Kluyveromyces lactis: one gene and its partner. The protein of the gene in region 2 purifies or fractionates together with the protein of the main gene of each other region. This does not show direct contact. Links are inferred from orthologs where the notes say so. Each region holds a gene or a part of one and is shown on either strand. Other genes may lie near its edges.

The links.
Region 1: the proteins of TRA1 (region 2) and SGF73 purify together in Saccharomyces cerevisiae (affinity purification with mass spectrometry; 8 studies listed by BioGRID, with this or other methods). This does not show direct contact. The link is inferred for Kluyveromyces lactis from reciprocal best matches to the Saccharomyces cerevisiae genes TRA1 and SGF73.

What each region holds. Positions count from the first base shown.
Region 1 is NC_006038.1:214,083-217,663, reverse strand, and holds SGF73 (deubiquitination module subunit SGF73), read left to right. Parts: upstream 1-1,445; coding exon 1,446-2,921; downstream 2,922-3,581. Other genes in the region: PGC1 (phosphatidylglycerol phospholipase), read left to right, coding at 1-870; ALG2 (GDP-Man:Man(1)GlcNAc(2)-PP-dolichol alpha-1,3-mannosyltransferase), read right to left, coding at 3,038-3,581. UniProt on the Saccharomyces cerevisiae protein: Component of the transcription coactivator SAGA complex. SAGA acts as a general cofactor required for essentially all RNA polymerase II transcription. At the promoters, SAGA is required for transcription pre-initiation complex (PIC) recruitment.
Region 2 is NC_006042.1:2,059,506-2,063,879, reverse strand, and holds the start of TRA1 (histone acetyltransferase TRA1), read left to right. Parts: upstream 1-1,552; coding exon 1,553-4,374. UniProt on the Saccharomyces cerevisiae protein: Essential scaffold subunit of the transcription coactivator SAGA complex. SAGA acts as a general cofactor required for essentially all RNA polymerase II transcription.

The DNA.
Region 1 (3,581 bases), on a different chromosome or scaffold from region 2:
GGATCGGAAGTAATCGAGACTGATTTACAGTTGACTAAAGATGGTAAGATAGTAATGAACCATGATATCAATACAGAGAGAGTTTGGGACCAAAATGTCGTGATAGGTGAGACGAACTTGGATGAATTACTACTGTTGAAGAGTAAGATAAATCCAGAAATCAGGATAACGACATTCAAGGACGCCTTACAATGGTTAAAAGAACACCCTACAATGAAATTTATGTTGGATATCAAGCCTACAAATGATAAGGTTCTTTTAATCAAGGCGATTCTTGAAATGAGAGCAGTAGTCGATGATTTAGATTTCTGGAGGCAACGTTTGATGTTCGGATTGTGGCAACTTGATTGGTACAAATACGGGGTCACCACGGCCACACTGAAGGGTTTCAAGATCGTGGCCATCTTACCCTTCACAGCGATGGCTACTAAATTTGTCGAATACTCTAAATCCTTGAGCGATGACAACTACAAGTTGCATGGTGTCAGTCTTCATTTCATTAACTCTTGGAAACCCGATTTCAAGAAAACTGTATTACCATACTTGCAAGAAAACAACCTTGCCGTATACCTTTGGACCGTCAATTCCGAAATTGACATCAAATATATCAGTAGTATGACCATTACCGGGATTATCGTTGATGATCCGGTAGCTTCAGTGTCAATTCGAGATGAGTACATTCGGAAAGCAGTGCCGTTTGTACCGCCAATTTTCAATAGCTCTGAAGGTTTTAGACTATACCTTAGACTTCGGGTATTCGAAGTGGCTGAAAGGATCCTTAGCTCAAGATGGGCCACTGTCCCAGTATTCCATGATATCACCTTGTTGAAAGTAACCGTTTTATTGTTAAGAAGAATCCACTTCATTTAAATGTCATTTCATTTCGTAGACAATCTATATAACACACATACCATAGGAAGTTAATATCCTGAAATATGTTATATTTAGCTTGCAATTCGATTATCGACGGACCAATTGGTGTGTGGGGGATTGACACATTCCATTAAGTCATATCACGTGATTGTAAGAACTTTCAAGTTTCCCTTTCTGAAAGTCGACGATTTCGACAGGAATAACATACCGATGGACAGAAACATTTCATAAGATAATACATGAATTCAGATGCTTGAAAGTATTTAGAGCGGGTGATCCAAAGATTTTAAAAGGCTTTTGAGATAGTTCTAACGTGTTATTTACCTGCCACAAAAGTTACTTTTGTACAATCAATATTGAGGGCTCACTTCATACCAGATTCTTTTTTTTTAACGTGCTATTTTTACCATAGTTAGGCACCAATTTGCATTACCACCGATAGACTCTGGTTTATTTTTGAAAGCTAGGTAAGGACAGTTTGATCATTGTTAGCTTGTCTCAATTCATTCATCATTTCCATCGTAATTCTCCCTATCATTTTTTTTTTACCTGGCTGATTTTGGTACAAGAGCATGTCAAGTGTCAATATAGAGATTAAAGGAATCAGATCAGACATTCAATTAGAAGATTTAGGAAGTAGCAAGAACGGTTGGAAGGAGTTACTGTCTATTGTTAAGAATAACGGGAATAGTTCGGATTTATCATCCACGGATATTCGTTCAAAATACTTGAGCAGGCCGTCAGAAGTTTTATCTGGCGTTTCTAAAGAGGATATCCGTTATAGGAATTGTACAGCTTGCCACCAGCCGGTATTGGTGTCAGCTATTATAGATCATTTAGAGAATCACTGTATTGATAAAATGCCTGTGAAAAAGAATGAGACGCAGGATATCATGTCTTCTCCTGCTAAAAGTAAGGGGAGTAATAAGAGATCCTCGTCGATAGATCCTGAGAATTTCGATTCACCTTCAAAGAAACAGAAATCATCCACTCCTTCTGGATCGACTAGAAAACAAAGGAAGATAAAACAGCGAAACCCGACAGAGCCACATCTGGTTAACTTCGATAAACAGTGTGGTGTACCATTACCTGAAGGTGGTGTTTGCGGTAGATCATTAACATGTAAATCGCACTCAATGGGAGCGAAACGTGCAGTGGAGGGACGGTCACAGCCATTTGACATATTATTAGCTGATTATCAGAAACGCAACCAGTTGAAATCTTCGGCGTCCAAGACTAGAATCCAAAAGGCACAGCAAAATCAGCAGGATCCACAAGTTAAACAAAAGGGGAAAGATAAAAACACTGGGAAAACCAGCAGCAATGAAGTGGTCAATGAGTCATTACCCAAATTGTCCCCTGAAGAAGAGACTACTCTGGTTTTGAACGGTGTTTCACGTTCATACCCACTACCGTTAGAAACTACGGTATTGACTTCTACACGATCAAGAACCAAGTACGTCAGAATGAGAGAAATGTTTGGGTCTGCTTTCAGTATAAAACCAGGCTTTAAGAGCCCTGGAGTTGGTGCGTTCCGCTCAAGGGTCGGTCTTATTGACATTGATAGAACGACTGATTATACGTTCCGTATACGTACGCCTCAACCTATTAACGCATCACCTCAAAACTTGACACCAGAACAGCTTCAAATATTACAGGCCCAACGTTTGAAACAACAACAGCAGCAGCAGCAGCAACAACAGCAACAACAACAGCGGCAACGACAATCTAGTGCTACCGGATCGTTATCTCAAATGCAAATGCAAATTCCACAGTCAGTTCAGGCTGGAAAACCTGCAGGGCAACAACCCATGATGACCCAGGGCATCACCCCTCGGGATATTCAAACTCAACAGCTAATAATGCAACAACAGCAACAGAAACTCCTGCAGAAGAAAAGAATGGAAGACGCCAGTGCTCAACTAGATACGGCTTCTAAGTTGATGCAGCAAACAATAGGCTCACCGGTTAATACTCAAAGTCGAAGCAATTCAAATCAACCTGGTGTTCAATTTGGTGTAAATGGATATGGAGGAAGAGTTAATTAGTGTAATATTTAGAAACTTAATAGCTTGTTAACGTCTGTTTTTCATCTCTTAACTTTGAGGGGTATGTGTATATATTTTGCACAAGTCGTTATAATAAATTAAGATTGGCTTCGCTTTTAAGTTGAATAGTTTAGGTAACAGAAAACGATGATCCAGTACACAGTGGCCTTTACACTTCTTAATACAAAATAAGAAATCGCAGCTAGCAATAAATATGGCCAAGAAGCATCGCCTGTTATCAACAGTGTAGCATATTGGACAGTGAACATCAGTAGCCCTGGAGCTAATGTGCTCCATAAACGCGTTCCTCTTGACTTCCAAATAATATGGTCGATGGTATTATCAAAGTTTTTGGACATCGCTTCTCTGGAGAAATAGTACTTAATACGTTTAGGACCGTTAACTTCGAATAAGGAGTGATTCTTTTCAAATATGTCTACGGATTGATCCAACACTTTTGACCATTCATCAGCATCGGATGGTCGTAACCAACCAGTTGCATCAATATGAGAAGGTGTCTCATTGTAATCTACCACTGTTTCTAGTGGACCACCCGTATCTACTGCCAAAACAGGTACACCATACTTCATAGCCTCGAGTGGTACAATTCCAAAGTGTTCGTTAGAAGGAGTGTATAGCAACATTTCAGTACTTTGCAAT
Region 2 (4,374 bases):
ACACGTATTTTTCATTACCACACGATGAAAAAGAAATACCGTTAGGCAACAGAAGGAAAACCAGTACAGTATGGAGATTATTATGGGGCACAACGTCGTTCCTATCTGGTAGAACCCGTCAGCATTCACGTTTCACTTGGTATACACTGATTATTATTAGCCTAAGGAAACACAGGTTTTTAAGTTGTCAAAGGAAAACTCTCTCTCTTTCTGCCTTCATTAACGGCTTTGATTATTTTCTTTCCCTTGAAGGGTTCTGATACGCCTGGTCTTTATGCCACTGATAATGCGGATCAAGGTCGTGATTCCTTAACTTCTTTTGCCTAATAACTGGCAAAGCTTTTGCCTGTCTACTTATCGTCATACAGATTCTTGACACCAGTTTTTTTCCGGTTCTTTTTTTCAAATACGTGATCCATTTGGTACGGGATTCTTTACCAAATGTGATGCAAAAAGTGATGGAAAAGGATATTTTTTCTACATGATGATCTGTGAATTTCACGCCACACTCTGAGCCTTGGTTGAAAAAACATGAATGCAAGGCGTACTTCTGGTTTTACAGGCTTTCGAAATGGAGATGAAGAAGAACAAAACAACGTAGTAGAGCTACTTTCAGCGCCTTTTCAAGGATAGAGTTAAATTCTTGAAGGAATTTGTAAGGTACAATGTAAAACAATCTATCACCTGGTTATCAGGGAAGCGCTACAAAATTGTCGAATCTTAATTAGAGCTGTACGGTGCTGGCCGAATGAACCCTTTTTTGAGAACCGTATGTAGATCTTTGTGAACTGTGAATTTATGCACACAGATTACGTCACACAGTCCAATCAATAGAAGCAGTTAATGGTTCCAGTAATAGCTAAAGGGGGGGTATTGCCTCATTTTTCGAGTTGGTAAGTAAAAACGATATTCGTTTAAGTTAGCCGCCTTGAATTTAATCGACGATTATGTTGTACTTGTTTTAATAAGATGTTGTCCGTGAAAAACACGAGTTATCGTGAGCGCTACTTACCCTTCGCCATTGTTCTATCTTTCGACACTCAAAAAATTATGCACATTGGCTGTCCGCTTATCTGCTAGAGTAACGTTCACATTTCGTGCGTATTTTTCTGTTGATGATGGCAAAGAATAAAACAAATACGTAATTTTCAATGAAAAATTAATAGCCGGGTAAGTTATTCGGATCATGCACGTGATCACTTCCTAAATAGGAATGTCATCACGTGATACAAAACTTTTCAAGGTCTACAGAGGTTTTTCAAATTGTTTTTCTTGGTACCAATTGTTTTCAAATTTCGATATGACATTGAAATCTGTACTCTCAACCAACAAAAGCGTAGTATTGATTTCAAACGAATACACGAACTTCAACCACCAAAGCAATTATAGCGCCTTATCACTAGACAACAGGTTCTATCAGCTAGCTTCGCATTTTTGTTCTTTTATTTCAACTTGCATCCTCCCTAATTCATTAATTTCAAAGGAAGACGCGGTCTGCAATTTGATTCTTTATTCAATATAGCTGAGCTGCAACGATTGTAACTTATAAGCAATGGAATCAACTGATACTCATGAGAGAATGGACACTTTTGTCGAAAGAATCAGGGATACTGAAGATGTTGCTGAAAGACATGCCATTATATCAGAACTTTACGATGTTTTGGATGTTGTAACTTCTTCAGTCGAATACGATGAGTTTTTGAAGAAGTTGTTGCCGCTCATTTTATCACAGTTGAATGATGATCAAATCTCAATGAATGCCTCATCTCCTGAACACAAGTTGAGAAATACATGTCTAGAACTTTTGAATAGATGTCCACTTAACGATAAAATGGAACCTATGGCCATGGAAGTGCTGCAATGCCTGTTAAAAATATTAACCTTAGAAAACGATGAAAATGGTGTCTTGTGTATGAAGATCCTCACTTCGTTGTTCAAATGCTATAAGCAGCCATTAGAAAGTGAAGTGAATACGTTCATTAAAATTATCGTTGGAATATATGAAAACGTACCGAACTTGGTGGCATCTACTTTCCTTGGTGAAGAAGAAACCAGCTCATCAACTGCAGATTCACAAGATTTTTCGAACTCTAATAATGAGGAGGATGCTTTCGAAAACTTGTCTGCACCGTCCAAGAAACATTTGGAAAAAGCTACAGAATCATTCAAGACTTTGTCTGAATGCCCAATTACAATGGTGACCTTATTTTCATCATATAAACATTTGATTTTAGTAGACTTACCGACTTTTTTACCACTCGTCATTGACTTACTCACTTTGGAAGTGAAACAACAGCAAAAATCCAGAGAAGAACTAGAAGCTAAAGGTGAAAAACTTATTGGGATGTCGTCAGAAATCAAAAACCGCTCTGCATTCTGTGATTATGTCCTAGCTCAAATCAAGGCAACTTCTTTCTTAGCGTATGTGTTTATTCGCGGTTATGCTACAGATATTTTGAAACTACACGTCAAGAAAGTCCCAGATTTGGTGATGAGATTATTACAGGACTGCCCAAGTGAATTATCATCTGCACGTAAAGAATTATTACATGCTACGAGACATATTCTCTCTACAAGTTATAAGAAATTGTTTCTACCCAAGATCAATTTGATGTTTGACCAAAAAGTCTTGATTGGTGATGGATTCACTTCATATGAAACCTTGAGACCATTAGCGTACAGTACCCTTGCAGATTTCATTCATAATATTCGGTCAGATTTGGCAATGGCTGACATAGAAAAAACTGTTAAAATGTACACCAGTTTTCTTTTGGATGAGTCTTTGGCTTTGACTGTGCAAATTATGAGTGCTAAGCTACTATTGAATTTAATAGAACGGATTTTAACTTTAGGTAAGAAAGACGCATATGAAGTTCCTAAGGCCAAAAAGCTACTAATGACGATTATAGAGGCTTATACTTCAAGATTCAAGCTATTAAATTCACAGCATAAGAAGATATTAAAACAACATAATGTCTACGAACAGAGTAAAAATAAGAAATCTAAGGAGATCCAAGATCAACTTGCGAAAGACAGGCACGATGTTGATGAATATATGGTTAACATCTTGAAATCAACAGACGAATTGTTACCGTCATCAGTTACTGTTGATACCAATGCCGACGTCGATGGTGATATTACTATGAGCGAAGAACCTGATATATCAGAGAAAGGTAACAGTTCGGTGCATAGTGATAATAACACATCACTGACTGTAAAGAATCAAGATAAAAATTCGGATATATCGTTCAAAGAAAACTCAGTTGAGATATTGGACTTCAATGATATACAAAATCATGCTCCAATAATTCTCTTCCAAGCGACGTCAAATGATCCTCTTAAGGACGCATTTTACTTATATCGTACTCTTCTTTCATTTCTGAAAACCATTATTCATGACTTGAAGGTTTTTAACCCACCCCCAGATGAATATACTACAATGAATCCGAAAATGTGGTCTGCATTATCAAGAGTATTTTCCTACGAAGAGGTGATCGTGTTGAAGAATTTGTTCCATGAATGTATAGCTGGTCTACATCTATTTTCTTCTAATCCAGAGGGCATTGATCCATCCACAGTAAAAGCACACTTCGATATAACTACACCTAGCTTACCTGTGTCAGCAACTAAAGATGGTCGAGAGTTGATGGATTATTTCGCTATTATTTTCATGCAAATCGACAGTCCTGTCTTCAATGAAATCGTTGAGAGTGAAATCGTCTTTATCTACGAATCTTTACTACGCGATTCAGCTTTGTTGCATGTTGCTCAATCATTCTTGACAAGTGAAATCACATCTCCCAATTTCACCGGTATTCTTCTAAAGTTCTTGAATTCCAAACTTCCAGAACTAGGGAATGTGGACAGTAACAAATCAAATATACTCATCAGACTATTCAAGCTATCATTCATGTCTGTCAATCTCTTCCCTATTACCAATGAGGCGGTCTTGTTACCTCACTTGAATAATTTGATTTTAGATTCTTTGAAGTATTCGACAGAGGCTGAAGAGCCTTTGGTGTATTTCTATTTGATAAGAACATTGTTCAGAAGTATTGGTGGCGGCAGATTTGAAAACTTGTATCGTTCAATAAAACCAATACTTCAAACTCTTCTACAGTCCCTCAATAAGATGATCCAGACAGCTTGTCGCCCTCACGAACGCGATTTGTATGTGGAGCTCTGTCTCACTGTGCCTGTGAGGCTTAGTGTATTGGCACCATATTTGAATTATCTAATGAAGCCATTAGTGTATGCCTTGGTTGGATTTCCAGAATTGATAACTCAAGGATTAAGGACTTTGGAGTTATGTATCGACAATCTAACTCCAGAGTATCTAGACCCGATTTTGGAACCAGTTGTCGGTGATGTTAT